4 linked regions of the Oreochromis niloticus genome follow. The protein of the gene in region 2 interacts with the protein of the main gene of each other region in a biochemical or structural test. Links are inferred from orthologs where the notes say so. Each region holds a gene or a part of one and is shown on either strand. Other genes may lie near its edges. The genes, in order: cdc7, mcm6, dbf4 and chek1.

Region 1 (7,352 bases), about 3.2 Mb from region 2:
GTCTGCAAGAAATGTCAATCTCGGACGTTCACTTCCAAGAATCATTACAGAAGCACTCAACCACAAATGCACACTCATTTATATAAATTGGTGTGCTTTATGCTGCACGTCCTGTCAACCCCAGCCAGCAGTGTACCAAACTGCGTAGGTTAAACTGAATCATAAGATGTCACACAAATGAGAAACCCACGCACCGATTTACCACAGCATAAAAATAAACTTAAAAGCAAGGAATCGAATAAAATTTGGTCTTTTCTGATTTTACATTTTTGGGATACTCAGCTCTTTCACAAACAGTAATACTAAAAGAAAAGTGAATATTGAGGTGTGCTCCCAACACCACGTGGAATTATAGGAAAATTAAATAATAATCAAATTGAATCCCTGGATTATCTGTCAAATAATAAAAACATACACTCACCAGCCACTTTATTAGGCACACCTATTTACCTGCTCATTATTGAAAATATCTAATCAGCCAATATCATTTCAGCAACTCAATGCATTAGGCATGTAAGAAATGCCAAATATCAAGGTGCAACTCAAAGGAACTCTATAATTTAACCAGCTTCAGTTCTTTAAGAAGGATTAGTGACAGTGTACAGGGTTACAGTAACACAAACTAAATAAAGGAATAGATGTTGATAGAAAAAACATCTGTGTAACATCAATAAAATTATAAGTTCCTGCATTGGACTCACCCTGCAACAGTGAGACACTGAAGCTCAGCAGCAATGCGTGTGGGATGGCTTGTTGGGATGAGATGCTTCAGTGCAAACATCTCTCTCCTCCCATCTCGCATCTGCACCTCACCCAAGTATACTGAGCTGAACGTACCTAATGAAGACACACAAATGTCATCAGCACTTCTCCTTATGAGGTTAGTGAACAGCTAACAATCCTTCTCCCAGCTGTATAAAAACTCCAAAACTGACAACGTACCTTCTCCAATTTTGTCTATAATGCGGAAAACCTTGGCTAGCTGAGGAACAGCTTTGTAAAGAAACTCAATGTCCATCTCCACTTCCGCTGGAAACAAACAAGAAAAAAAAAATCCACTGTCAGAACACCATTACTAGTGTGGTGTATATAGTCAACACATAGAAAGCAATAGGAACAGGAGGGGAGAGAGATAAACAGAGTATCGATATAGCTGTATAAGCCCGGCTTAATCTCAGGGTGGTGGGTTCGAGGCCCATGTTGGGCGTTTGCATTGAGGGCAGGGCAGGGATAGCTCAGGTAGAGTGGTGGCCCCATAATCGGAAGGTTGAGGGTTCAAATCCACTGAACGGCTACCCTGAGGTACCCCTACACTGCTCCCCGGGCCCATTGCTTCACTGAGTGAATGTGTTAAATGCAGAGAGACTTTCCCGACGGGGATCAATAACTGTGACATAATTTGGAGTTAAAGAAAAATACTGGCGGCCACACTGCTACACCTCAACTTATGGTATTGTTTTAAAAAAATCCGACAACCCTAAAGTAAGTTTTAAAAGAACAAAGAAAGCAAACTAAATATAAAATAAATATGATATGATTGTCTTAAAAATTAATTCTGCCCAGAGTGAGGTTACTAATACTGTGTGCAAACTCTAAGCTACAGTGTGTCTGTGAAGGTTCTCAGTCATCCAGGTCATTGTAGTCTAAGGAGCTTGGAAAGGAAAGCGTCTGGACTTCTTTAAGTTGCTTGAAGACGTTTCACCTCTCATCCGAGAAGCTTCTTCAGTTCTAAGGGTCAAATGGTGGAGAGTCCCAGATTTAAACCCAGTGGGAGTTTCCCCCCAAAGAGGGACAAAGGACCCCCTGATGATCCTCTACCTAATCACATGAGCCAAGGTGTGAAAGCGGGTGTGGGTCCCAATCAGCCAGGGTTTCGGGTGAGCTCATTGTTAAACCTGGCCCCACCCTATCATGTGATTTCCTGAGGTCAGATGGCCCAGGATGTGAGTGGGCGTTAAGGGGTCTGGGAAGGGATCTCAAAACTGGATTATAGATGGCAGACAGTTGGTGTCGTAAACCACCGCCTCTGTTCAAAGATGGTCGCTCACAGTGGACGTAAATGGCTTCTTTCACTCCTCTTTCAAACCATCTGTCCTCTCTGTCCAAAATGTGAACGTTGGCATCCTCGAAAGAGTGACCTTTGTCCTTTAGATGCAGATGAACTGCTGAGTCTTGTCCCGTGGAGGTGGCTCTTCTATGTTGTGCCATGCGCTTGTGAAGTGGCTGTTTGGTCTCTCCGATGTAGAGGTCTGGGCATTCCTTGCTGCACTGTACAGCATACACCACATTGTTCAGTTTATGTTTAGGAGTTTTGCCTTTCGGGTGAACCAGTTTCTGTCTGAGTGTGTTGCTGGGTCTGAAGCTACAGTGACAAACTATAGCTGAGCACAAAGATTTTAAGTGTATATCAGCCATAATATAATAATGTAGTTCCAATATAAGGATGCATTTCTACTGAAATATTTCTGTCATATCACAGTTGTCCAACTCACGGGAGATTTTCCGTTTCTTGTGACCTCTGTCAGCTTTCATAAGGCATCCGTCTGTGCTGGGCTCAGCGCAGGCAGGAGAAAACTCCATCTGAAAACCAGAAAACAGGAACATCGATAGAGACACTTACAGACGGAGCAAACACTCGTGATTTAAGTTTGGTAAACACTTTATTTAAGATATTCTGTAGCTGTACAAGTCCTCGTTACTGTAAATGTCTGCAGTTATAGTTTTTTGAAGAGCGCGGTCTGACTTCCTAGACACCACTAGCATATTGTTAGCTCGCTAACTGCAGCTCGTAGAGCAAAAACACAAAGAAACTTACCGCTTCAGTTGGTTGTAAAGTCCAAAAGTGTCTCAAATTAATGCCTCATAAAGTCACCACACAGCCCTGACCAACATCTATACCGGTAAAACATCAATTATAGGTTTATATTCCGCTCTGGCGGTGCCTGAACAACTTTGTACAGACTTTCGGATTGAAGCGTCTCCGCCAACAACAAACTCCGCGCTAAAAGTGACGTCAAAGAAATCTCGCGTTACAGCAGCAGAAATCACGTGACATCCCAAGCACACGGACGAGAATTTAATTATACCTGTGACGTATCGCTGCATGACTTAGATAAAACAAAAACTGCTGCCTGTGAATTACACGTTACACTGCCAAATAACAGTTTAGTGTTTTCTGATTACTTCCCTTGTTACTCCGTTATGAGTCGTTGCCTCATAAGAATGGCTGTTGACAATTTTGAGCAAATTTAAAAAGACTAAAACTAATAACATTTCATGTATATTTTAGGAGCTCATTCAACACGGATGTTTTATTAAAAAATATAATATTCAATTGAAATAGTCCAATATTCTTTTTTCCCTTTCAAACACAAAAAACAGATGAAGTTTCAGAGCGCCCTCTGGTGGACAAATTGTGCCTCATCAAAACTCTTAACATGGTTGAGTGGTGTTTCTCCCATCACTTTACTTTTTCCCATTTATCAGCAGTTATAAATGCATAAATCAACAGATTGTGAAATAGTTCATATTTTACAATAATATTGTCCCACCGATAAATTGGCTTTAATATTATCTACTGCATAATTTCTGTTCTTGTTTTTCTTGTTCATGTCTGGCTATTTTCATTTCGGTTAGCAAACGTGTTTTTAACACCTCCTATAGGTTTATCATTTAGCTGTGGTTATATTTTTAATAACCTTGGATATACAGTACTGTGCAAAAGTCTTGAGTCCTCATTTCTTGGTTTTACTTTGTTTTCAAGGAGACAGAATTTCTTATACTTTTTCTCTCCGGGTTTTCAAAAGCTCATTGGAAGTTTTTCTTTGGATACTGGCTGCTTTTTAAAAATCATTTTCAGTCTTTTCAATGACCATGTTCAGAGAAATTAATTCTTTTGTTTCTTAAGCCACCTAAAACTGACCTATAACTAAGCATAAAAAAGTCATCATCTAACACAAGGGATAAACAGTCAACTTAGTGAAGAACCAGTTTTAAATTGTATCTTTAGGTACTTTGTCACTAGTAGGCTCATTACTTTCACAACAGCTAGTTGAATCTACAAAAAAAATCTAAAAATAACAGTAAAATACTATTTTTGCATCACCATGCAACAAGATTTAGATGTAGAGACATGTATACTTATTCCTTTGCATTAAGTTGAAATTAATACTTTCACTGGAGTACGCAACAACTTGAATGGCAGTCTTTGAATACACACCTATGATACTAGACAGTTGTCACAAAGCTACTTCTAATTAGTCTACAAGTGAGTTCAGACATTGAGAAATTACCCAAAGACTCCACTGAATCCTCCAGTGAACGCAGGCTTTATTAAGTAAACAGCGCACATAAATACAATCACATCAAAAAACCCTTTTGAACTTTGTTTCTTTTACAATACAAAATAAGAATGAATTTGCAACACTCTACAACTCCAGGTGTAAATCTCACAGGAAACAGAAAGCACCTTACATTAGTGACATGTTTATATCAGAGTGTGTCCACCAGTACTTCTAAAATATTCCATCAAAAATGCCAACAAAAGCATCTTCCTCTTTGCTGCTGGTGTTGAATATATGCAAAAAAAAAAGGAAAAAGGGTATTTATTAATCCTGTAAGGAAGTATGCTTATCCCATATCCCCTGCATATAGGATCACTTTTATTATTTGGTGAGAAAACATGCAATAGGTGTGAATCAAGGCCACTTTTTTTTTTACCTTCTATTGAGAGATGAGCTGGCGTTGGGTGGGGCACTCAATGCTGAAAAGAAATCCAATCTCCTAGTCACTTTTGCCTCCTCAGGCTGTTTTAGAAGTTCTAATGATGTTTTTACAGTGGTTTCCTCACTGAAAATATTTGGCCTCTGCACAACAAAAAGAAATAGAGCCATGATTCATGTCTGCACATTAGCTTGACTGCTGGCTGTTACATTTGAGAAAGGTGAGGTTAGAAGCATTAACTGAAGTCAGAAGAAAAATAGCACAAGTATGAGCTTTACTGTACTTACTGAATAAATAGACAGCTAAATAGATAATAGATAACTAAAAGATGTCAACAGACAGAAAATGGCGTTCTCAGTATTTTTACATATAGCCACTAACTCTGCACAAATACACATGTACACATTCCTGCGTGTGCACATACATGGACTTTCGGATTCCACTTGGGTGTGATTCTCTTCTGTGGAGTGAATGTCCGGCTGACTGTTGAGGGTCCCGCTTTTTTGATTTCAGGACTGACATTTGTTAAAGTCAACCTGAAATAATCATGAAAAATATTCTATTCAATTTAAATTTATTACACATGTATTGTTATTAAACAGTCCAACCACCTTCCACGTTCCCTGTTTCTCATGAAAATGCAACAAAAGAGAAGAATAGACACATTTTGCATGTGATATCAAATTGTCATTGTAAATCGTGTAAAAACTACAAACTCTGACACTTGTGTTTTACTTTAGATTTAATCTACACTATTACGATTTTTAATCGACTAAAACTAAAAGAATAGAAAAGAGAGGGCGGCTGTCTCCTGATTCCAAACTGGGAGCTGTTTCCACAGAAGGGGAGCCTGAAAGCTTTCACTTTTAGAAACTCCAGGATAAACAACTGGAGTCTGCAAATATGACAAATTTTCTAATGGTTAATGATACTGTCTCACTGCACATACAGTATGTCACACAGTTTCTGATTCCTGGCTTCCTGGTTATACCTCACTTGGTGGTTAATGGTGCATAAGGCTGTGGTCTTACCTCAGTGGTGTAGTCACAGTGGTTATAGAGGGTTTGATGTGTGAGTGGCTGAGTAATACTGGTGCTGTAACATAGCCTACATAAAGACATATGTATATGTTAATTAAACCATAAGAACATCTGATGTATAATCCCACATGGGCATGTGTGCTTAAGGGTATCCAGTGATATTAAAACATCACTGTGTTCATGTCACAATGAAGTCCTGATGACTGAAATGTATGAGAAGTTGATTTCCGACTTGTTCACCCTACCTGGTGTGCGGTTTTCACCACACTGCTGAATTTGAGGTTGTGCAGTTGTGTATGAAGTCAGTGCTGGCTCGCTTGCATGCATCAGATTATCATCATCAAAATCGCCCCAGTCATCCCACTCGTTTCCAAGGTCAAAGTTGACAGTCGGTATCTGGAGGGATGAAGTATTTTTGCAGAGAGCAGCCTGTTCTGGCACTGCTGTGGAGCTCTTTGAGTAAACCGTGCTGGTTGTATTGACCTGGTTTAGATCCTGTTGAGAGTCCTGACTCCCAACACTCATATCTGTGGTCATCCACACCGAGGAACCTCAACACAAAGGAAAATAAAAGCATGGTCACATCATCAAATCTTCCTCAACTGTGTGCATTTAAAAATTCAACCTGAACAATAACATCTATCTAATATCTTTTTAGATATATTCTTCCATCTCGCAGCTGTTGATTTCAAAGCTGACCGTGGTTAAGTCTACCACTTAATCTTGTGTATGCTGAATAAACCTGGTCCTGAGTATGTCTGACTTAATTAATATGTTTTCTTTTGTTACCACAGTCCATATAACAAGTGGCTGTACTTGGACCTCCTCTGAGCAGAACTTAAAGCTGAGCAGAACAAAAACATGCGAACAAACAGGATAGTTAGTCTGGAACTGAGTTTGAAGTTATTTAACAATACTTTGATGGTGAGGGCCTTCCCAAAACGCCCTCCCATCGTTGTGTACATGTCTTCCATATAATAGTCATCATAATCTCAAAAAATAAAAAGAAAGAAAACAGCTGATGATATAACATATTATGATATATGATATAACACGTGACACAAAGAAGATATGATAGAAGTGACATTCAAATGTTAAGGAATATGTGGAGCTTAGTCATGTCACTTGTTTACCTCCGTCGAGGTCATTCAGGCTTTCTACATCAGGTATTTGAGCTTCACTTGCCAAGTCAGTCCCAGACTGAGGTCTCACTGAAGCTTTACAGAGATTTTCTTTATTCCTTCAGATGGAATAAAACAGAGCTTGAAAGTAATGTGAGCCAAGTGTGTCTTTGCTCACGATTCTTGAGAATCTAATGTTCAGCTGTTTTTTTAAGGAAACTATTAACATGTTTGCACATAAGAATCAAGATAAATCTGTAATTTCAGTGGCTGTGTGTACCAGGAAGGGGGTGGAAGCATCTCTTTGGGTTTGTAAGCAAACTTTTGCATGCTGAGCGACACAGACTCCTCAGCCATTTTCATCTAAAGAAATAAAACAGAACATCACACATATTATTAATTAGTTTAGGAATACAGACAACGTGCTCGCCGTGTGCAGAAGATGGTTTCTTTACAAAATATATTACAG
Region 2 (8,253 bases):
GTCGTAGCGTCCGCTGACAGGGTTAGCAGCAGCCAGGATGGATGTGCGAGCGTTCAGGGTAGCCTGAGGAGAGAAGCGGAGGAACGGTCTGGTTATTCTACTGCAGAGACGAGCGATCGAATTTGATAGCAGTTTAACTTCCACTTGTGCTGCGTAAAAGTGTTTAAAGTGTGTTCAAAGCATAAAGCTTTGAAAGCGTCACCTTGACTCCGGCTTTGGTGATGCTGATGGTCTGCTGCTCCATGGCTTCATGGATGGCCACCTGGTCTTTGAGGTCCATCTTATCAAACTCATCAATACAGCAAACACCCTGAAATCAAACCAGTTAACAAGTTTTACTTGCACTAATTACATAAAGAAACTTTTTTTTTTTCCATAATAATACATCCGTCACTGTTCTTCAGAAGTCGCAGCACTCACGTTGTCGGCGAGCATCAGAGCTCCAGCCTCGATGACAAACTCGTGCGACTCCTCGTCTCGGACCACGGCCGCCGTCAGACCTGCGGCGCTGCTGGCCTTGCCGCTGGTGTACACCGCTCTGGGACTGAACTCCTCCACGTGCCTACACAGGCACACACATTCAAATCAACAATGCTGTACAACAAATGTCTACAGCAAAGAGAGTACTGAAAAGTATTTGTGCCAGAAGATGGAACAAAGAAAAACTTTATGCAAAGCTAATCAGTGAAGGTGGAAACTGTGTGACATACTTGAGGAACTGGCTCTTGGCAGTACTTGGATCTCCCACAACGCACACGTTGATGTCTCCTCTGAGCGAGGTCCCTTCCATGGTCGTCTTGGGAACGCCTCCAAAAAGCATCAGCAGGATGCCGCGCTTCACCTCATCGTTACCTGCACCATCACGTTAACGTTTAACTCACAAGTCACAGCTTTGATAAAGAACTACGAGAGCATCCTCCATTGGAGAAAAAGGCTAGACGGGGGTTCTATCACTGACCGTGGATGGTTGGGAAGAGGCTGGTGCACAGGTTGTGGTACAGGTTCTTGTCCTGGCTCATCTCAAAAACCTTCTCCCACTCCTTCTCCGTCATCTGGCTCTTAATGCTTTCAGCTGTCTGCTCCTCCTCCCGCAGCTCTTTACCGCCAAACTGTGATAAAGACGTATTTGTAATCACACAGCAAGATTTGTAGCCGTTTGCATTTTTAGGCACAGGGGCGAGCGCTTCTTACCCGTGGGTTGGTGGGCGCCACGTTGCAGGCCAGGAAGGCCAGCCTGTATGACAGCTCTCTGACTCCCAGAGCTTTCAGTCCTCTCAGACCCTCAGACTCAAAGCCCTGAGGACCTCCTGCTACACGGGTACTGGTCTCTGCTCGCACACCTGGAAGTAACATCCATACAGTCATGAGAACCAAAACAAAACAAAAACACACCACAAGACATAGTTTTGATTATAAATGGTTAAAATTTTAAAAAGTACCAGGTGTGCTGAGCTGTGAGACATCCGGCACGACAATCAGGGTCCCAGTGAAGTCACAGCGGTCTCCAGCCTGAGCCGTCTCCACAGCCTCTGCCCTCAGGATGATCTCAAGAGAGCGTGGGATCGAACCACGGGGCAGCTCCGCCTGTGTCTCCTGGATACGCACCTGGATACACAAACAGGGTACACAGGGTCAGAATCAGACTCATTCATCCATGCAGACAGACAGGCACACGTCCTTTATCACAGTTACCTTCTGAAAGTCGATGAACTTGGATTTGTGCGTGTCGAGGTGGAAGCGGGAGCGGTTGTTGCACACGGGGTTCCTGCAGATGGTCGGAGGAGAGTATTTGAACTGCTGAGAGACATCTTTGATCACTGCCTGGCAGTCCATGCACAGGAAGGTACCGCTCACCTGCACCAAAGGACGCATAATGGGTTTAATGGCAAAAGACAAGCGAAAAACTGAACTTTGTGTCTTCTTCACTGATATAAACATCTCACCAGCTCAGGATGGACTGGGTGCGTTCTCACCACCTGACCGCTGATTCTCACCAGGCTGCCAATACGCATGGAGGACAACTCACGGATCCTACATTTAACACAGGAAAAGGATCAGATTTGGCATTTCATTCCCATTAACATCTACCAGTGTGAGATGTAGCATTTCTGCTTTATGCACCACAACTTAAACACCATTTAGTTCCAAGTTATTCAAGCCAAGCAGACATTTCTACAAATATCTTTACACTAAAGCAATCTAGCTGAATAAACGGCAGCTCAGACCAGATAAATGGAGATGTACATGGTGGTTTTGGTTAACAGTGTCTTACTTGTGTCTGGTGGGCAGATCCTCGATAGCGACGTAGAACTCTTTGTTGAGAGGAACGTTCCCGTGATCCCGAGCAAAGTTGCGCACTGCTCTGCATAGGTAGGGATACACTCTGGAAACAGAGAATCCTTCAGGTTATCCCACAGCTTATCTCCACAGCACTGAACTGATGGTTTGAAATGCAGCAGAGCACTCTCCCACCTCAGTATTTGGATTAGATATGAGGGAAGCACCCATGACTTGGTGGTCATGTGGCCTGCTCACCTGTAGTACTCCTCCTGGATGGTGGTAGCCAGTTCCTGGTTGAAGCCCTCCAAGTCGGTGAAGCTCACCAGTAGGGTGTTCCTCTCAGGCCTGATCAGCTCCTCGGCCTCCCGGACATACTTCACCTCCCCATCCCCGCTCTGAAATCTGCAGGGTGACGCAGGAAGCGAGAGAGAGTTAAGAAAAAGCAGCGAAAAGACACCAATAGCAGCCGATCAAAGCAGCACTCGATCCTTATAATTGCTGATTAAAAGAGCGATGTCAAGCCAAGCACGTTTCGGCCGACAACAATACGACACGGTCGCTGCTGCCTCACTTACTCCTCTAAGAAAGCCTGGAATAACTTCTGGCACTTCTCGGCCAGCTCGTCCTTCACCATCGCCCCGGCAGTCTCCGCGGTGGCTGTGGCGACATCCATGCTGCAAGTCCGTCAAACTGCGACAACAAAGAGAATCCAAAAAGAAGTTTGCAAAACCGACACGAGCTGCTCCTCTCCTCTCTGACACACAGCACGCTCAGCTCCGGACAACAGCGAGCCCGGTTTCGCGCGAAAAGCGAGACCACGTGATGTTTGGCGCGCCGCTTTCGACCAATCTGCGACGTTATGGAAATGTCTCTGAGCTCGTAGCCAATTAGAAGCGGAAACGTAAATTGACGCGGGGTCCTGCTGCCTTTTTTCCCGCGATACGCTTCCTGTGCTAACCAATAGCAGCTGTAGACGGGGCTAGACCGAGCTGTTATCTCAGTGTGCGCGTGTCTTTGTCGAGCACGTGCGTTATACAGACAGGCTACAAATGAAGAATGAGCTGAGTGACAGCGTCGCAGTAAACTTAGCACTTGAGCCATTTCCGGCCATAATATTTAATATTAGTATGTCGTCATCATTATCATCATCATCTTCTTCTTCCTAGGAGTTGCCTCATTGGATCATCCAGCTCCATCTATGAATCTTCTCTGTGATCTTCCTGTTTTCCTCCTGCTTGCCTCCTCCATATTTAGCATCCTTTGCCCAGTATTTCTGCTCTCCCTCCTCTGCACATGTGTAAAATATCCCAGTCTTGCCTCTCTTACTTTGTCTCCAAACCGATCAACCCACCCTGCCTCTCTGATATACTCATTCCTGATCGTGTCCATTCTGGTCATGCCTAGTGAAAATCCTAACCTCTTAAACACTGCCAACTCCAGCTCAAACTGTCACGGTGTAACCTGCAAACTTGATATTCCATGGAAACTCCTGCCTGACCTCATCAAAATAAGAGGGGGATCAGAGCCAATCCCTGATGTAGTCTCACCCCCACCTTGAACCCATCTGTCACTCTCACCCCTGTCTTGCTGTCCTGATACATCACTGAAAAAAGAAAATAGGTGAACCAACTTAATTGAATTATTTCAATTGGTAACACCTAATTTAATTAAGTTCTTTGAAATGAAGTTAATACATAGAGTAACACAACTGATTTATCTAATGTATTAACTTCATTTCAAAGAACTTAATTAAATTAGGTGTTACCAATTGAAATAATTCAATTAAGTTGGTTCTTTTTTCACTGATGTCTTGCTCCACCCTCACATATTTCTCTGCCACGGTATCTCTCTCACCACCCTATCATATGGTTTCTCTAGACCCACATAGTCACAGTGCAACTCCTTTTGACCTTCTCTGTACTTCTCCATGAACACTCTCCAAGAAAACATCACATCTGTAGTGCTATGAAACCATAGTCCTGCTCACTATCACATTTCTCTTCTTAACCTAGCTTCAGCAACTCTTACCCATATCCTCTTAGTATGGCTCATCAGCTTTATCCCTCTGTAGTTACTACAACTCTGCATATCACCACTGTTCTTGAAAACTAGTGCTAGTATTCTTCTTCTCCATTCCCCAGGCATCCTCTCGCTCTCCAGGATTGTGTTAAACAATCTTGTTAATGCACCCACTGTCCTCTCTCCTAGTCATCCCCATACCTCCACAGGTATGTCCACTCACCCTTCTTCATAGCTACTTTCACTTCTTCCTTACTAATCCTCTGCACTTTCCTCTCATTTCCTCATCAGCCCCTCAAAGTACTCCTTCCACCTTATCAAGACATTTTCTTCACTCGCTAATACATTTCCATCCTATCTTTAACCACCGTAACCTGCTGCAAATCCTTCCCAGCTCAATCTCTCTGCCAAGCCAACATGTTTTTTCCTCCTTTCCTAGTAAAACTCACTGTAAGCCTTTTCCTTTGAGTAGAAGCTACTTTCAGCCGCTCCCTTATTTTCAATTTTGCAGTTTTACAATGGATGCTAAACCCCAAAGGGAATTTGGGTTTGAGTAAATGTACTTTGATTTAAAAACCGAAAGCATTTTACTGCTGCAGATGTCTGTGGTGAAGCTGTTTTAACTGCTTTATACAAGCCTACATGTCATTTGTCTCTTCCACTAGTGGTTTCCATCCAAAGAAAAAGGCTGCTCCAGAGGTCACCAGTTAGAAGTGAGGATTTGTTAGATGGGAATAAAAGACTGAAAAAATCCCAGAGAATCAACTTATTTGATGCAGTAGCGAATGTTTTTCTGTGTTTGTGCCTCAAAGCTTTATTTATGTATTTATTTTTTTTTTTTGCCTGTCCCGTTTGGATCTTTAGCCATCAGAATTGTTGTCTGAAGGCCAAGAAAGATGCCAAGCGGATTTACTTTACCAAGTGCATCTTCATGGCCTTGCCATATTGGTCCATTTGATTGACCTTTATTATAATTATGTTTTTATTTTATTTTATTTTCGGTTGTTACAGACGGGACAGACATGACTGGGGGATAGGACAGGGAGAAAGAATGAAAGAAAGAGAGGGAGAGAAAGAAAAATAGAGGGGCGAAGAGATGGTGAGAAAGGGGGGAAGGAAAAAAAAGAAAAACAAACAAAACACCTGGATCACCTGTATGGAGATAAGAAAAACAGACGAGAAAACAAACAAAAAAGAGCAACATAATAAATACAACACCATCACAATAAACTAGCTAACAGTAGATACTAAATATTAATTAATGCCACCCTCCTGGGAAGAGCTGAGAAGAGCCCCAAACGAGAGATCACCCAGCAGCCACGGAGCAGAGGCCAGAGGGGTTGCAGTCTCGTGCCCGCGGGCTCTGCCGGCAGCCAGCTGTGCCAGAGAGGACCGGGCCTCAGGCCCAGAGGCCTGAGGGCACCCCACCCCCCGGAAGGGGCCCAGCCGGGCCACAGGCACCAACCCCCACCAATCGGCCACCAGGAGTGAGTCGGTACATACATGAGTGCCCAGCCCCAGACACCAAGAACCACCAACACACCAACATCTGAGGGCATCAGCCACCGGCAGAGTGTGGTGAGGGGAGATAGGCCTCCATACCTCGGAGAGCCTGAGATGTTTCCAGAGAGGTGGAGTGTAAGACCCAACCTGACATATAGACACAGACTAACAGGCGGACGGAGACACAAACATGCATTCCCACCCCCATATACACAAACAAATACTCGGCACTCACCCGACGTAGAAACAGACACAAATAGACACTATACACACATTCACACTCCCCAAACATACTCTATATCCCAGGTCCAGGTACCCCTGCCCCCAGAGGGGCAAACCGTACCTAGACCCAGGAGATGTAACCCTTCTCTCTGGGGTGGAGGAAAGCAGACCGCCTCCTTATCTGCAGTAGCAGGGAGGCCCCTCATCCCAGACCCCAATCCGACGGCCAGCACCTCCTCCCAGCCCCCCAGCACCGACGGTTAACAGAACGGGGGTGAGTGAAGGCCCCAAACTTCCCTCTGCCCACTCATATGTAGTGTTGCTGCGTGCTGTTCTAAAGTGCATTTAAAACACAGGAGGGCAAGGTGCTTCCTGCCAGAGAGCAGCACGGCTCCTCCCGAAAACCCTCAGTGTCTATATGCATTTAAAATTGAGGGTAGGGCACCAGCGCCAGAGGTGGGTTTGAATACACAGACCGTCCTCTGGACGCTGTATAACGTGACCACCCCCAAGGCCCTATAGGTATGTGTTATGAGAGTATGAGTAATGTGGATGTCTAGGTTGCGGAATAAAATTGAGGCACAGGCGGCCAGAAGGGGACAGAGGGGGAGTGCCTCCCCTGCACCCTGGTGACACACCTGCACCCCAAGCCCTGCGTGTGTGGGTGGCTTTGGTGGAGCAGGAAGAGGGAGGCAGCTGAGGATGGGGAGGGAAGGAAGGGAGTGCCTACTGGCCCCAGGGAGGGGCCCCCACACTCTGGAACCCCCAGTAGTCAAAACTGTGCACAAGGACACAAGTAATTGGATTCAACTTATAAATGTACCACATGACCACTGGGGGGCAGTGAACACTCATGTTTCTGCATATTTTTATTTTACATGTCAGCTCAGCCAGTGTCAGCGCCTACTAGGTATAGAATAGAATAGAATAGAATGCCTTTATTGTCACTATACAGTTGTACAATGAGATACAGAGCATCTACTCAGTGCAAAACATGCTGGGGGGGGGGGGTACAGTTCTGCAGCGCTATATACATATGGACAGTATTAACAGAGGGAAAAAGATATATATATATAAAATGTACAAATATACAAGCCAGTTTTAAAAAAAAAAACTAATATGTAATAAATAGTGTTGTGTATATACAGTTGGGTTATTGCACATAGAATTGGTATTGCACAGTGGTGGTCCATAGAGGAAGTGGGAAGAAAAAAAATTATTGCTTCATTTCAAATCAAATCAAATCAAATCAAATCACCTTTATTGTCACATCACATGTGCAGGTACACTGGTACAGTACATGCGAGTGAAATTCTTGTGTGCAAGCTTCACAAGCAACAGAGTTGTGCAAAATACAATAACGTGCAACAAGCAAAATATAAAAATGGTTAATCTAAAAAGTAATAAATATATGTACCATATATAAAGGTATATACATTACTGAATGTGTGTACTAAATATGTTTTTCTACGTGTGTGTGTGTGTGTGTGTGTGTGTGTGAGTGTGTATATACATGTTTTACAAATGAAATAGAGTAAACAATAAAATAAGATATATAAAATATAAAATATACAGAGGTAGGTATGTGCAAAACAGTGGCATTAACATTAATGTACAGTATTTCTAAAAGGAAAGTAGTACTACAGTCACTACAGACAGTAAAATAATACAATTTTTCCAAAATTGTTTTTCTTATTTATAGTTTTGTGCTGGGACCAGAAAGATACAACTTCAGCTGAATGGTTAATTTTGCACTATGTGTCTGTGTATATTTGTTCCACCGTATTGTTGTAGTTGTGTTAAAACAGTGCAGCTATGGGACAGCAGGCATTGGTGGAAGGTTGGAGTACAAGTCTGTAACTAAAGGTGCCGTTAATAAAGTTACAACAGTAAAATGAGGTGGAACAGAAACTCCTTGGAGCAAAGTGGTCGGTGAGAAACCACCGAAGGATCATGTCCATGTTGTAGAGAGCATTACAGTCCTTGCTTCTTTGTTTTATCACAGTGGCTCCTCGTCGAGACTGGAAAGAACAGCTATTGTGACCTTGTATTCACATCAGTTACAGCAGAATGAAAAAAGTAGAAAAAAGTAGACCAAATGAACCCAACACCTTACAGGCACACCTGAGGAGTCCCCAGAGACAGTCATCTTGACCCGTGAAGTTTTCCCATTTTAATTTCTTTAGACAGTGGGGACAACCTGATGGTCTTCTGAAAGAAAAACTCATT
Region 3 (7,396 bases), on a different chromosome or scaffold from region 2:
GAGGTAGATTGGACGGTAGTGCCTGACAAAAGAGAAGGAAAGCATTTTAAAAATCACAGGAACAATTTCATGACAGCAGGTGGATGCTGGGTTTTTCTGATTGACTTCTTACCTACTTGAATCCTCAACCTTGATGAAAGGTTTACCAATCCGCCCACCTGGAATACAAAACATAGATCGTTTATTAGCAAAGCAAGAAGAATACCAGCCTGAAAAGGCCGACTAAAATATACCAGCAAAGCTAAGTAATTTGTTGGGGGGGGGGGTCTACCTTTGCATTTCTCTAGGCCTTGCTTTGCTGCAGAATCAGCTTTGTCCTGTTAGAAACGACAGAAAAAAGTGAACACTTCCAATGTTATACAAATAACTTAATATAAAGTTGGACTATTTTTCCTACTATACACTGGAAATTCTCAACTTACACATAATTTGGCCGCAGTGGCTGCAGGAACTGAGCTTTTGATGATCTTTTTTTTCTTATGAACATATGCTCTTAAATCTGGAATTGGCACAAATAAATTTAGAAAAATCACAGATGGCAACGCAGAATGAACTTAATTTCATACAAAGAAGAAAAATTACTTCAACTAAAACAGATACCACACACACACACACACACACACACACACAAAACATACCATCTACATATAGGATTTTCACACCCCACTCCAGGGCATTTGACAGGATCTTGTTTACTTGAATCCTTTCCTAAAAACAAACAAGTGTGTATTAGCAGAGCAATTAAAAGCCCTCAGTAAATATCATTCATGTTGACAAAACAAACCTGCTCTTTCACTACTCTCTCCACCAGAGACTTCCCTCGGCTTGTAACAAACTGCAAAACAACAACAGATAATGCAAAAAATATCAATAACTAGAAAAATGATCTACAGGTTCAGAGAAGAAGTGAGATCAATCCCGGTAAAACAGACACATCATGGTGAACTCACCGTGTCGGTTTGTCCTTGAGATCTGCTCTTGATGTCGCCATGGCTGCCAGGCCGGTGTGGGTTTGAGCAAGGATACGGCGAACTCGGTCCAGAGTCTGGGCTAGGAACAGGAGAGTCCTGTCTGAGGCAGTTCACATATCTAGCCTCCCGCTTGTTAGATACCAGATACTTGATGTCCTTACTGAAGAACTTCTCCACAGTCTGAGCGAAAAGATAAACAAGATAAAATGTTTTGAGAAAAACTCAAGAATAATTATTTGTCTATTCAATTCACAGAGTAACCATGTCCCAGAGCCTTTAAAAATATATTACTGAATGTCTGGTCATGTTTGTAACCTGACTGACATTTTCTAGTCATACTACTTCTGAGTGAAATGCATTCAGTTTTGGCTTATTTCTCCAGTAAGTACTGGAGTATTTGGTTGGACCTCAGGCTTTATTTTTTCATTACATTAATTCAACAAACTCCTGCAAACATTCAGAGAGTTTGGTCAATATTGACATGAAGGCATCACACAGTTGCTGCAGATTTATCAGCTTCACATCCGTGATGAAAAACCTTTTCCACCATGTCAAAAAGGTGGTTTATTGGATTGAGATTTTGGTGACTGTGGAGCCCATTTGAGTACAGTGAACTCACTGTCATGTTCAAGAAATCAAATGTAGATGATTTGAGCTTTGTGACTAGGCATGTTACCCTGCTGAAATCAGAAGATGGGTACAATTTGGACATAAAGAGATGGACATGGTCAGCAAGAAGACTCGGGTCCCAACGTGTGCCAAGAAAATACCCCATATCCTTACACCACCAACAACAACCTAACTCACTGGATATTTTCTCCTTGTGTGAGAAAATCCCGTTAGATCAGCAGTTTCTGAAATACTCAGACCAGCCTGTCTGATTAGATATTTGCATGAACGATTAGGTGTACGCAGCTTCATAGTTCATATGTTAAGCTTGCACAAAAGCAGTGTGACAAAATGCAAGTTTCAGCCAATGAATGTAACCAAATAATGTCTCACCCCTCCAAGCTGTTTGATGTCACTCTCTAAGGTTTCTGCGGCTCTGTTTGATGGCAGGTCCAGGTAAAACACTTTTCCAGCAAAAGGCTTGACTTGTGTGGGAACTGATGTACGTTTCGCCTGACTCAGCGTCACCTTGTCACTAGTATGTCCACCTTTTCCTGAATAACAGTATAGCACAAGAAGAAGACTTAAATGTTAAACCATTTTACAAGTGAGTTTTACAGCAAGTTTTCCAGACACGGATTAAACATAAACAAAAAGAGAGATTGAATTAAGATCTCCAATGACAAACTTGACGCTTAAAGCACGTTTTATATCAAGTTTATCCTTACTTGAATTAGAAGCTAAGTAAATAAACGAGCCTATATCATCTGTTTTAACATTCAAGTCAATCTGGTTCAATAGAGATTATTTTTAAGTAAATTAACAATCAAAAAACTTCACAAAAGATCCATTAGCGTTACATTCGTGCGTTACGGTGTTAGCTGTTCGCTAGTTTGGTTAAAACTACGTTTTAAATTTTAAATGCAAAACACGGAAAAAGTCGCGGCTGGTGTAACACGGAAATAAACGCTACAGGTACCTTGCCAGCTGGGTCCCGGGTGCCTCTGACTGCGTTTTGTCTTCATTTTATTCTCTTTCATCGAGAAAAGGCTGCTTTTCTTATCCTCCCGTCTTGAGTTAACATACTCCACAAAGGCCTCGTCAGTCCTCTGTGTGTAAACAAAAGAAAACGCACATTTAAAAAAATTAGACGCAAAATGCAAGGAAATAATCATCTATTACATAGTAATACGTAAACAAAATGTAACATTAACATTACATTAACATTATCTGAGGCAATGCTCGCTGTCCCCATGTTAATCAATTTTAATGGTCTTAAATGTAAACTTAACGTACGTTCACAGCCTCCCTCCCCAGCGGACACACAGCTTCGCCGATTAGCCTCTTTGCTCACATTTTTATGCAAGTAAATGTCGAAAAACGTCCCTAAACGTCTGTCGGCAGATTTATTTTCCACAGAATAGCCACGGTTATACGGTTTTACAGCTCCTCATCCAGAACTAATAAACTTTAACAGTGCCGTTTGCTTCCTTCACCTCCCTTTCCCGCTTTAAATCCGGTGTCGGAGACGGTATATGTTGCCATGTTTGACGCTTTCCAACTTCGTAACCATTTCCACGTTAAAATGCGCTATGTTATTGAGTTAGTTTTTAAATTGAACAAATGTAATATTATTTATCTGAAGCTTTGTCTTTTATGAACGTTACAGCCGTCCTATTATCGATAGCTTCAAAAACAGAGGTGTTGATATCAAACGGAATACTCTCCAAACCTGGCAACGCAAAAAATACGTAAACATATTCTTGATGCTTGGATGTGTTGTTTCCCCACTATTATCAAACTAAAGTAAATTATACGAAGACAATTATATCAGTTTTGTCATTTACAATAACTTTAATGTAGTATACATGCACGTTTAGTGTCATTTTATCTGAAGTTACAAAAATAAATACAATTATTAAAGTCAAGGTATGTGCTCAGCTGAAATTTAAATTATGTCATCACGCGCTGTTTGCGTCAGGAACTACCCTGCTGCAATTTCACACGTGTTTATGCTTTCAAAGACTTTAGGACAGCAGGAACTGGCGTAGTAGGAGGATAGCTATAAACCCCGAGAGGGATGTGCGTGTTCACGAAAGACGTCGCTGATTCTGACTGACTTTAGTAGGTAAGGAGTTAGCTGTGCTAGTTAGCTTGCTAAAGTTAGCCAGAGACCTGTCATGTAATTTTTTAGGGATCGTAGCCTTGTCATGATTTATTGTGTGAATATTAAATAGGAGGCGTATTAAAAGCAATCAAATGTTTGTCTGTTTGTTTGTTTTTTAATGAAGACAGGATGAATAATGAAAGTCCTGCTCCTCCTGCCAGCGGCGCCATTACTCCCCTCCAACAGATGGTGGCGTCCTGCTCCGGCGCCATCCTTACGTCGCTGTTTGGTGAGGCACCTACTCTTCAGCTTATTACATTACAAAAAGCATGCCTTTGTTTATTAACTAACACTCAGCTGGTGGTTTATGAGGTACAACTTGTTATTGTGTTATAAAATTATTTTGATCAGTCGGAGGTTTGGAGAAGTTTCCTGAACTGCTGCTTTGTTTGTTCTCTGATTAAATGAAAATTGTGACAAACATCCTGAACACAGGCACTCATGTTGAGTTGCTTTTTTTACAGTCACACCTCTGGATGTTGTGAAGATCAGGCTACAAGCACAGAAAAATCCCTTTCCCAAAGGTGAAATGAATTTACACTATGTTGACTGACTTTTTTTTTTTTTATTTTAAATTCTGTTACATATATCAGACCATGATACTGTGCATGCAAAAAGAAGCATTATTAAAGTAATAATAAAGATCAACCTATTTCCATAGCAGACTTTTTGGAAGTATTACAGAGGTAGAAACCATATGAGGCCCTTAAAAAAAGGTTCTTTTGTCCCTGTGTTTTAGCATTTGATCTGTCTTTATGTTTATTGTGGCTCCATTATATACTAAACCAGGGGAGTCAAACTAATTTTAGTTAAGGGGCAATATAAAATGTCACTTTATGAACTTTATAACCTATATGAATCAGGAGTGGGATTAGGGAGCAGCTAGAAGAGAGCCTGGAGAGATGGAGCCATGAAAGCCAGAATACATGTGTGAGAATGAAAGGGAGATGATGTAACAGTGAAGGTGGATGAGTTTAAATACCTGCAATCAAACATCCAAAGCTCCAAAACTGCTTTTATATCTCCATACATTTTCATGCCCTTGTTGTACTGCTGGCTTTACATTACCACACTAGAAACAGCAGTGAATTTTACTCAATAATTGGTTTAGCCAGTAACAACTTTACTGAAATGTTCGCATTTTGCTGACCTGAACAGCCAGGCGGCCTGCGTTTGACGTCACTGTATTAAATGTTAATGTTAATATTTTTCAGGCAAATGCTTTGTCTACTGCAATGGACTTATGGACCACATATGTATTTGTGAAAATGGGAATTCCAAGGCCTGGTACAAAGCTCCGGGTCACTTCAGCGGCACGCTGGTAAAATTTTACATCCACATTACAGTTTACCACTATAATTACCTCCCGCCATGTTTTTGGTATCGTTTGTATGTCGTTCTGTCTGTTAGGTCTGTTAGTTGTCCGATAGCCTTGCTTCATTAAGCCTTGCTTCGTTAAGTTGACCTTGGTCTTCAAGGTCAACTTAATGATTTAATGGTCGAAAATTGACAAAAGCCTTATAACGTAGAATCTGTGACAAGTGTGGTGTCTAGTGTCAACATTTAAAGTACATTTAAAAAGGAAACAGAAAACAAAATGAATATATACAAAATCCAATTATGTTCCCTTAAAAGTAAATACTGTCCAGAGAGTGAGCTTCTTGTTCCGTATAATGTTTTAAAGTTAGCAGTCTGACACATTAAGCTTAGCTTTAGTGACTGATAGAACTTTTCCTTGTATAAAGTTGAGCTGTTGTAGTACAAAACCTCTGAGTGCCACAGAGCACATCATCCTTCACTGACTCCTAACTCTGAATCTCTGCAGGATGCATTTGTCAACATAGTGCGGCATGAGGGAATCAGGTCATTATGGAGCGGTCTGCCTCCAACACTGTGAGTGTGAAGTCTATTTCCTGATTGGGCGCCTGCCCTCCTTTTAAAACTGAGCTGTGGTGGGTCAGTAGTGATTACAGCGGATGCTGTCATTAACAGTGTTTTCCTTTGATGTGGTATTTACTCTGAGGTGGCTCACTATGAATTTCTTCAATGATCGTAACCAAATATTTAATTATGTTATGCGTCATTAAACAGAACTTTCTTAAATTTAGATGCATTTTGGTGGCTGTCTTTTACGTGCTTAGAAAATTTTATAAGGAAGGCATGATTTATGTACTTTCTGTTATGTGCCTTCTCTAGTGTGATGGCAGTCCCAGCCACAGTGATCTACTTCACATGTTACGACCAGCTCTGTGCAGCACTGAGGGTCAGGATGGGAGACTATGCTCAGGTGGCTCCTCTCCTTGCAGGAGCTACTGCTAGAGGTGAGCTGACTGCTGTCCTACTGCCACTGAAATATGCCATATATTGACAATAATGCCCATATAATGCCTAATAACAGACATCAGCATTTTAATAATGTTTGGGGTTTCAAGGCCAACCACCCTTACCTTCTGCACCGTGGCCTCGACTTCCTGATTTTATCCCACAAGCTAGATTTCATCTAGAAAATGCGAATGTTATTTTTAGTCTAACTCACAGGCCTGTAAGTGATTATTAAAGTAGAAAAAAGAGGCTCAGTCATTAAAAGCACCACAGCAGTATGTTACTTTCACTACCATAACACTTCATGCCCTGCTTTGTCTTCCTCCTCTGTGTGAAAGTGGGTTCGGTGACGGTGATCAGTCCTCTGGAGTTGATCCGCACTAAACTGCAGTCCCAGAAGCAGTCGTACAGGGAGCTGACCCAGTGCATCCGTTCAGCAGTGGCCAAAGAGGGCTGGCTGTCCCTGTGGAGGGGTTTGGGGCCCACGCTTCTCCGAGACGTTCCCTTCTCGGCCATGTACTGGTACAACTACGAGATGGGCAAGAGTTGGCTGTGTGGCTTGTCTAACATCACAGAACCCACGCTGACCATCACCTTTGTATCCGGAGCTGTTTCAGGATCTGTAAGTAAATTTTTCATCTAAAACTGCACAGAATTCAACTTCCAGCCTGCAGATAAACATATCTGATAGCGAACAAACAGAAGTAAACTACAGCGTATCATTTCTTATTTCATTTTTGTCATTTCTTTCAGATTGCATCTATTGTAACTTTGCCTTTTGATGTCGTCAAAACAAGAAGACAGGTGGAAGTTGGAGAGCTGCAAGCAAAGAACTGTAATTATGCTTAATTTTTTTTTTTTTTATTAAAGCTTCTGAAGATTGTAAATGTACATCTGAAGCTGCCTGGGGAGGTTATGTTGATGCTTTATGTTCATATTTGTGTTGTCATGGTAAATAATCCAAGTCTGCAGTTAAATAAAAGCAACAATGAGCTTTAAAACATTTTACTTCTCATCAAAAAGGCTTCCTCATTCCGTTAAGAGGCCACAACACTTTGTGACAGTCGACGAGCGTCACAAGTCAAGCCCTGTAGAGCACTTAAACCTTCTCAGTGCTGATAAGCAACATGAATAAGTGCCTCAAGTGTGTGCTTCCTCCTCTGTGGATGATGGTGATGGCTGCTCCAGCTGTTTGTAGACGCCCCCTTCTCTCCTGTTTCAGACCCCACTCCTCTTTTCAAAGCCTTGCCCTTTAAAGACTGCTGAGTGAGGAACAGGCCTTCTTGCATGTGCTCCTTAAAAACACCATTAAGCCAGTGTGCACCAC
Region 4 (7,372 bases), on a different chromosome or scaffold from region 2:
GCTCTCGGCCTTTAAAGCGAAACATGGTTGCCAGGCCAAAATCTGTCAGCTTCAGGTTATCTGAAGGTGAAAAAAAAGAAAAGAAAAGAAAAAAAAAAGTCAACCCCAGAGGGCGGTGGTTATAAGGAATAAAAGAGAATCCTAAAAAGAGAATCCTTTGATAAAGATTGCATTTCCTCACCTTTGTCATCCAGCAAAATGTTCTCTGGCTTTATGTCCCTATGTGTGATGCCAAAATCATGGAGGTACTCCTAGAAAAGGTTAAAAAAAAAAAAAAAAAAAAAAACTTAAAAAGAGAATAACAGCAGGAAAATACGCAGGAAGTCACATCAACACAAAGATGTTCTTCACTCACCACAGCCGCTATTAGCTGCTGGAAAAATCTATGAGCATCCTTTTCAGCCATCCCTACATCGGGCTCTAAAGAGAGCGTAAAAGAAGAAAGAGAGTAAGACCGAAATCAAATATTTGCAAAGAATGATTACTGAAGACTCCAGACGCATTTCAGCTAAGCTGAATTCATGTATTCATGCTAATCATATCTGAGTCAGGAAAGTTACAGCTGGAAGAATAAATCAGCAAACAAAAGGTTTTTCTTGTATGACAGTTTCCTCGTCAAATGTGTGTCTGCAGCTCACCGATTCGGTCAAACAGCTCTCCCCCGGTGCAGTACTCCAGGAAGAGGTACACAGTGGGTCCTTCCTTCCGATGGCCAAAGAAGCGTACAATGTTGGTGTGTTTGAGCATCTATGAGTTAAGTGCACACACAAAGATCCTCAAAACAGTGCTCTCAGCTATCACTCTACTTAGCTAAGAGCTTAACGTTTTTAATTAATTCAACAAATCTAAAACAATAAAAAAAATAAAAACAACTTCAGTGTCTGTTAAATTGCTTACAATCAGTTTGTATCTGTAAACTAGAGCAACAAACTGGTCAGTCTCAGCCAGTTTATCTTTACGAATCTAACCAACATTAATAACAAATGCCAGTTCTTTATATTTTAGCCAGTATGAAGTACGACTTCATACATGTTTGCTTTCAGTTTGCCTCTTCGGTGTCTGTTCAGCTGGTTTTTGGATCTTTTGTCATCATGTCACATCATTTTAGGTGAGCCGAAACAAGCAGACACATCTGTACATCTGTATTCTTATCTGCATGTTTGCTTTCAGCTTGCCTGGAATAGCAGTAGCTTTTCCCAACAAATGACACCCTCGAGCTGAGGGCTACCAACGTCCCCAGATCAGCTGAGGCTAGAGTTGGTTTTCACAACAGTAACAGTTTTTATCTAATTCTCACAGTCTGGGACTGGCATGAACAGGCTGTGTTTTTTTTTTACTGATGCAAGGAAAAGGGAAATGAGAGCATACAAAGCTGTGATTCAGTTAATTAACAATTTATTTCATGCAGCTGTTTACTGTATTAACATATGGATTTAAGAACAGCTTGACTTGTTTCACAACACACCACTGGTGAGCCGCTGCTTTCAATAATACTAACTGTGCAGGTGAAGGTGATGGATGTACCTTGTGGATGCAGACCTCCTTCTTGACATTTTCAGCACACTCTTTTGCCTGCGAGGTATCGATGACCTTCACTGCTACCGCCTCTTCAGTCTGTCTGTTCACCAACAGCCTCACTCTGAGACCAAGAACACAAAGAGGACAAACCGGTTAGATCATAAAGAGAAAAGAGCACGGAGGTGAAGAGAAGTGAGAGGAAGTCTGAGTGGAAGTTATCAGGATGCACAAAGAGCTAAAATCTTCCTACAGTGTTTCTAGAGATAATTTTCAAGTACTTTAAACTTTGTTAAACTATTCAATAAAATCAGAACGTCAGGTGTCAAATTCCGTCTGTTTTCGTTGTTTTTATTTTATATTTTTTTTTCCCCTTCTATATTTTACTGCATCATTGTTGTGCATTTTATTTATTTTAGTTGCATTTTAGATTGTTAAGTACTTTGTGCAGCATGCACTGTTGGAAATGTGCTATATAAATAAACTTGACTTTGACCTCTAGAAAACAAGAAAAACAAAAAAACCAAACAAAGATATTTAAGATCTTTTTAAACCCACTTAAAGAGTCAATCTAAAGTTAAAAGGTTCTTTTTGTGCGGTAGTTTTCTTCTATAACCAACTTTGAGCATTGGTATCTCTGGACACCTCATTTAATGGTGGCATAACGCCATAATTTAAGAATGATAGAAGCAGTCATTGCTACCCTGAGTGTTTGATTTGTTTTCTAACAATTCCATGGCAAAAACCATGGAATTGTTGTGGTAAAAATGGTTAAACTTTAAAGTCTCATAACATTAAACATGTTTTAGCATATGTAAGGTCTCATTTTTACCTACATTTTGATACCTGGTTCATCTTCTTTTTTTTTCAAGGCTAACTGTGACTGTGATGGAGTCAGGTGTCTCCTGTGAGTGATGTTTTTGGATTTTCAGATGAACATTTCTAGTGCATATACATGCCTGTCATGATCCCATGAAACAAGGGGGAAAAAAATCCTTGTGCAATGGCTGGAAAAGGACAGCTATTAAAGGCGATAAGCTAATGATAAACAATGATAAGGAAGCTTTCATACTCTCCGTAGGCTCCTTCTCCCAGAGTCTGAACAACGTCCCAGTCCTGCACAAAAGGCACCGCCATGCTAGAAACAGAAACACACGCATTCATCACTTTCGCTTTCTAATATTTACTTATGTATACATTATTTTCATAACAAGGGTCCTATTTCTTCTAACAAGTGTCTGTTAAGCATTTACCAGCTTACAAAACTTAACTTTGACAGCACTTTGACAGAGTGCTGTCGAATGTCATGATGCTCAAAAGAAAACCGCTAAGAAAAATAAAATACGAAAATATGAGAAAATAACCTACCTGCTCAGCCTTTTCACACAGCAGCGACTGCCACATGTAGCTATCCTTAAAGCTCAGACGCACGTCTTCATCCTGCTGCACTGACTTCTGAAGATTTTTCACAAATTTGGCGCGTTGTTGTCTCATTGGCGATAACTTCCGCTTGGACGTCATTTCCGCCTTGTCTTCTTCTACGCCTCCCTTCTTCTTCTTCTTTGAGTTTAGCCGGTCAGCTGCCACCTACTGTTCATTATTATCCAAGTCTTATTCGGATTAAACATGCCAGATTTACAATTCATTATTCAACATTGTTTAAAGCCTGAATAATTGCCACAAAATTCTATTTTTTTAAATGGAGAGTTTATTGAAACACCTGACAAATTTGTTTATAAAGTTATTTACATATTTTTCCCCTTATAATAGTTGTAATTTGCATCATATTCACTACATCTGGCCTTTAAAAAAAAAAAAAAAATTGCTTAAAAAAGTATTGCAAAATTTATTTATGCTTTAAAATGGGAAAAAAGTCACACTGATGATGTAGAAGTCTCAAAAACTCACAAACAACTGCATGTATTAAATACGATACACAGCCCTATTTTATCTCGCCCTGAACTGGAGATAGCTATACATGCATTTATTTCCTAACGCTTGGACTATTGTAACTCTTTGTTTATGTGTCTAAGCAAAGGTTCTCTGGATCGTCTGCAGGTTGTGCAAAATGCTGCAGCTTGGTTGTTGACAAAATCCTCCAAGTATTCACATGTGACACTATTGCTATTTCAGCTACACTGGCTTCCTGTTGAATTTAGAGTACATTTTAAGATCCTGGTCTTGACATTTAGAGCCTTGCATGGACTGGCACCACCCTACATCTCCGATCTGCTACAGCCATATGTCCCTAGCAGGTCCCTGGGGTCATCTGATCAGGGTTTACTTGCTATAAAACAGACTAAGATGAGAACTAAGGGTGACAGAGCTTTTGCCACTGTGGCCCCTAGACTGTGGAACTCTTGCCCTCATACATTGAGACCTATGGACTCGGTAGTTGTTTTTAAAAAAACAACAACTCAAAACTCACCTTTTTTGGACTTTACTTCTGCCTGTTTTATACTGTCTGTTTTACCCTTTTATTATTTGTTATCTTATGTGCAGCACTTTGTGATTCTGTCAGGAAAGGTGCTATATAAATAAAATTTTATTTATTTATTATTTATTTACTAGGCGTGAAAGGGTTAAACATCCATCCATTCTCTTCCGTTTATCCTTATTAGGGTCTCACGGGGTTGGAGCCTATAAAGTTAAACATGTGGCATGTTTTTTTATTTTCAATTGTAATTAAGATATGGGTTTATGAGATATGCCAGTCATTGCATTCTGTCTTCAGCGCTTTGGACAGCTTCACAATTCTTTTTGAATTGAGTTTGTAATGAGCTGAAAAACATTTTAAATCTTTCTTTGAAATTACTGATGCAGGTGTTTCACAGTAATAATTGCCACTTTGCTATTTTAAGAAGTGTAATAAAAGATAGAAAATAAACAATAACACAAGAAACAAACAAAAACCCACCCATCCATCCATCCTCATTTAGAGTCGCCCTAACTCAGGTCAGCACCAACACAGAAAGAACGACACCAAGCTCTACCACTACCCTGACATTAAAAATGATGTCCTAATATCTATTCCCTTCTATTTACCAACATTTATACACTCAGTTAATGTAATTATATGTTAATAATCTAATGTGACTCATTGTGCAGTGTAAAAAACTACATAAGAAATACAGATTATGACATTTACAATAACATGCTAGCTGCATGTGGAATCCACAAGACCCAATTTTAGCAACAAAAACTGCTACAATACACGTGGGTCAAAAATAAGGGAATTGCAATGCAGCTGTGAGTTTCATGCAAATGAATGTTCAAAAAGTGGCCTTTCTTCCCATGTAAGAAAACATTTTCTAGTTAATGGATGTTACAAAGCTTTTATTTAAACCACTTTTAGGTGTCTGAAAGTGTGAAGCTTCAGCTGGAAGCTCCAGCAGATACTGTCATTTCAGAAGGCCCTCACAGAACTGAGGCTTTTCCAATTCAGGTCACTAAAGGGAAAATAATAGTGCCACAGGGTTTATTCCCTGGAGAAACTGATGTGTCCAGTATTCACACTGTAAAATTACCCAGTTAGTCTGTGTGGCATGTAAATTAAAAAGAAGACAAAAAATCACATTTTCAAAACATAATCTCTTAACTGTTTTTCAGAAAACAAACTCAAAGCCAGAGAGAGCTTGAGGCACGATGGAGTGTTTAATCAATACTTGAATCAATGTGTCAACAAGCTAGCCTGGTGCTTTTGGGAAATGATGAAGCGAATGTTTGTACTTTGTCTTGGTTTCACAATGACTTTGTTTTTCGTGGAACATGTGACAGCGTGTGTACACATAACGGGAAATCCTGGATCCAAAAAAAACTTAGTTAAGGTCAGGACACACAACACAAACCATGCAACCCACATTTGTAGTTGATGCATTTAACTATTTCATATATAAACAATTGAATAAATGAAAACAGTACATCAAAAAATCAAAAAATCTGAGTCATGAGCACTTTTGTTACCGTTTTGCTTCACCTTTTGTTTTAAGTGAAAGATAATTGCTTAATACAGCTGCTCAGCTGCTCAGCTGCTTTCTGTTTGTCACCTCACACTGCACCAATCAGGTGTTATAACACAACATCACATAGTTTGGCATCTTTTTCATAACATGAGTAAAGTCTTCCCTGAAAAAAAGGTATCAAGAAAAAAGACTGCAAAATATTCCTAGTAGAGTGTCGAGTGTGTCTTTAATAGAGGACCAGCTGGAGATCCAGAGATTGGGGCCATTCGGGATCAGTTCTTGGCCTCGTGCCTTGTGTACTCTGAATTTGTCAGTTTTCCACGTAGTCTTTCGCAAAGTGATGAAGTGATCTTCATCCTTATTGCTGAAAGATGCATAGACTCTTTGTACAGCAAATCTTTTTACTAATGAACCTGATCAGTTTGGTAAATGTTCTACTAGTGGTTTTATTTATTTATGTATTTAATTGAGAATTAAACCCAAAGGCTCCCTGTTTTTGACCTCAATTTTTTCATGTTGTTAGCATCAGCACGTAATAAATATAAAGCAGTTTCCAAATAATAACTACTGTAAATAGCGTCCCAGCTCACATTGTAAGTGATAAATTAGATAAGAGATCTTTGTGTAATTCTAAATAAGTTATCAGTTGAGAAGGATTTATGTAAATGTGGAAATTGTTTGAGTGTTTTCTGTGATAAACATGTATTGATCCTCTTTTACAGGTCATAAAGTTAATAAGTACCAGGATGGTCTTTGTCCACTCCCAGTTTAAACATCACTCTCTACTCTGAAATAAATCAACCACTTCTGCAATATACTCTCATTTTTAAACTGTCCCCCAGTTTAAGCTTCAAGATGGGATTTTCTATCCACTGGAGTTGGCTTGCAGCGCTTTTATGTGCATTTTGGATGGGTAAGATACTTTTATTTTAGATAAAAAGTTATATACAATTTTGAATTTCTAGTAATGCGTTTGTTGTTTACTTAGGTTTATGCACCTTATAGGTGTAAAAACTGATCAATGTTCAAATAAATATTTATTAACTAATATATAACTTCAATTCAATTCAATTCAATTTTATTTATATTTATTTATATAGCGCCAAATCACAACAAAAGTCGCCTCAAGGCGCTTTATATTGTACATTCTGAATATATTCTGAATATTTGACAAACGTCCTTCTATCCATCAGGTTTTTAGAGACTTAGCAACATCATCAAATGTGAACATTATAGTGAATTTTTCAGAAAATGTAAGTCTGTACTAAATTTTGTTCATCATCTATTTATGGAAATTAGTGCAGGCTCAAAGAAATAATGTTGTCTTAAATATAAAATATCAGACTTTTTGCATTTAAAACATAACAATTTAAATTCTTGTAATACAAATAATGCTTCACAAAGGTAAGTAAAACAATGTATAAACCCTTAATCACTAACCTGGTGATTTTAGTAAAAGAATCCATTGCATACTGTGTACTTCAAAAAAAGGCAAATCATGAATTTTACACTACTTTAGTAATTGTGTAATGGTACGTATGTAAGTGTATGATAAACTTAAATTGTGGCCTCTGAGAACTGTGGACATTTTTTTTCAGGAGCTGGTGTTCGATGTGCTTGCCCTGAGAGTAATTTGCAAATGCAAGGAGGGAATTACACACTGAGCAACAACCTGGAGAGAGGCAGCATGTTGGTATACCACTGTCCTGAGGGCTACTATCCATACCCAGCAATAACCCGCTTATGTCAGGCTAATAACTCCTGGAGACCACGACCCAAAAGATTTCCAGCTCAGAGATGCAGGCGTGAGTGGCAAAGATGTTTCTCCCTTGCCTCACACGGCCTGATAACAACATAGTAACTCAGGGTCCTTTCGTTTTGTTTCACAGTGATTG

Evidence for each region.
Region 1: of the proteins of mcm6 (region 2) and cdc7, one has a biochemical effect on the other in vitro, tested with the Homo sapiens proteins (2 studies listed by BioGRID). The link is inferred for Oreochromis niloticus from reciprocal best matches to the Homo sapiens genes MCM6 and CDC7.
Region 3: of the proteins of mcm6 (region 2) and dbf4, one has a biochemical effect on the other in vitro, tested with the Homo sapiens proteins (2 studies listed by BioGRID). The link is inferred for Oreochromis niloticus from reciprocal best matches to the Homo sapiens genes MCM6 and DBF4.
Region 4: the proteins of mcm6 (region 2) and chek1 form a complex in vitro, tested with the Homo sapiens proteins (2 studies listed by BioGRID, with this or other methods). The link is inferred for Oreochromis niloticus from reciprocal best matches to the Homo sapiens genes MCM6 and CHEK1.

Annotation. Positions count from the first base shown.
Region 1 is NC_031982.2:10,741,740-10,749,091, reverse strand, and holds the start of cdc7 (cell division cycle 7-related protein kinase), read right to left. Parts: upstream 3,043-7,352; 5' UTR 2,816-3,042; intron 2,581-2,815; coding exon 2,493-2,580; intron 1,030-2,492; coding exon 943-1,029; intron 838-942; coding exon 702-837; intron 1-701. Other genes in the region: probable ATP-dependent DNA helicase HFM1, read right to left, coding at 4,515-4,563, 4,720-4,865, 5,147-5,258, 5,754-5,829, 6,008-6,313, 6,896-7,002, 7,164-7,246. UniProt on the Homo sapiens protein: Kinase involved in initiation of DNA replication. Phosphorylates critical substrates that regulate the G1/S phase transition and initiation of DNA replication, such as MCM proteins and CLASPIN.
Region 2 is NC_031982.2:7,553,245-7,561,497, reverse strand, and holds the start of mcm6 (DNA replication licensing factor MCM6), read right to left. Parts: upstream 3,109-8,253; 5' UTR 2,954-3,108; coding exon 2,856-2,953; intron 2,683-2,855; coding exon 2,536-2,682; intron 2,384-2,535; coding exon 2,273-2,383; intron 2,032-2,272; coding exon 1,944-2,031; intron 1,855-1,943; coding exon 1,693-1,854; intron 1,606-1,692; coding exon 1,440-1,605; intron 1,341-1,439; coding exon 1,192-1,340; intron 1,110-1,191; coding exon 959-1,109; intron 853-958; coding exon 711-852; intron 563-710; coding exon 421-562; intron 311-420; coding exon 203-310; intron 64-202; coding exon 1-63. UniProt on the Homo sapiens protein: Acts as a component of the MCM2-7 complex (MCM complex) which is the replicative helicase essential for 'once per cell cycle' DNA replication initiation and elongation in eukaryotic cells.
Region 3 is NC_031976.2:20,456,358-20,463,753, reverse strand, and holds the start of dbf4 (protein DBF4 homolog A), read right to left. Parts: upstream 3,128-7,396; 5' UTR 2,935-3,127; exon of another isoform or gene 2,877-2,934; intron 2,690-2,876; 5' UTR 2,621-2,689; coding exon 2,560-2,620; intron 2,135-2,559; coding exon 1,974-2,134; intron 1,152-1,973; coding exon 951-1,151; intron 836-950; coding exon 785-835; intron 709-784; coding exon 639-708; intron 500-638; coding exon 423-499; intron 318-422; coding exon 272-317; intron 159-271; coding exon 113-158; intron 23-112; coding exon 1-22. Other genes in the region: mitochondrial glutathione transporter SLC25A40, read left to right, coding at 3,877-3,976, 4,212-4,271, 4,962-5,068, 5,573-5,640, 5,944-6,068, 6,408-6,691, 6,823-6,904. UniProt on the Homo sapiens protein: Regulatory subunit for CDC7 which activates its kinase activity thereby playing a central role in DNA replication and cell proliferation. Required for progression of S phase.
Region 4 is NC_031975.2:13,694,210-13,701,581, reverse strand, and holds the start of chek1 (serine/threonine-protein kinase Chk1), read right to left. Parts: upstream 3,046-7,372; 5' UTR 2,884-3,045; intron 2,654-2,883; 5' UTR 2,653-2,653; coding exon 2,588-2,652; intron 1,640-2,587; coding exon 1,525-1,639; intron 748-1,524; coding exon 639-747; intron 421-638; coding exon 356-420; intron 252-355; coding exon 182-251; intron 61-181; coding exon 1-60. Other genes in the region: complement factor B, read left to right, coding at 6,333-6,390, 7,076-7,282, 7,367-7,372. UniProt on the Homo sapiens protein: Serine/threonine-protein kinase which is required for checkpoint-mediated cell cycle arrest and activation of DNA repair in response to the presence of DNA damage or unreplicated DNA.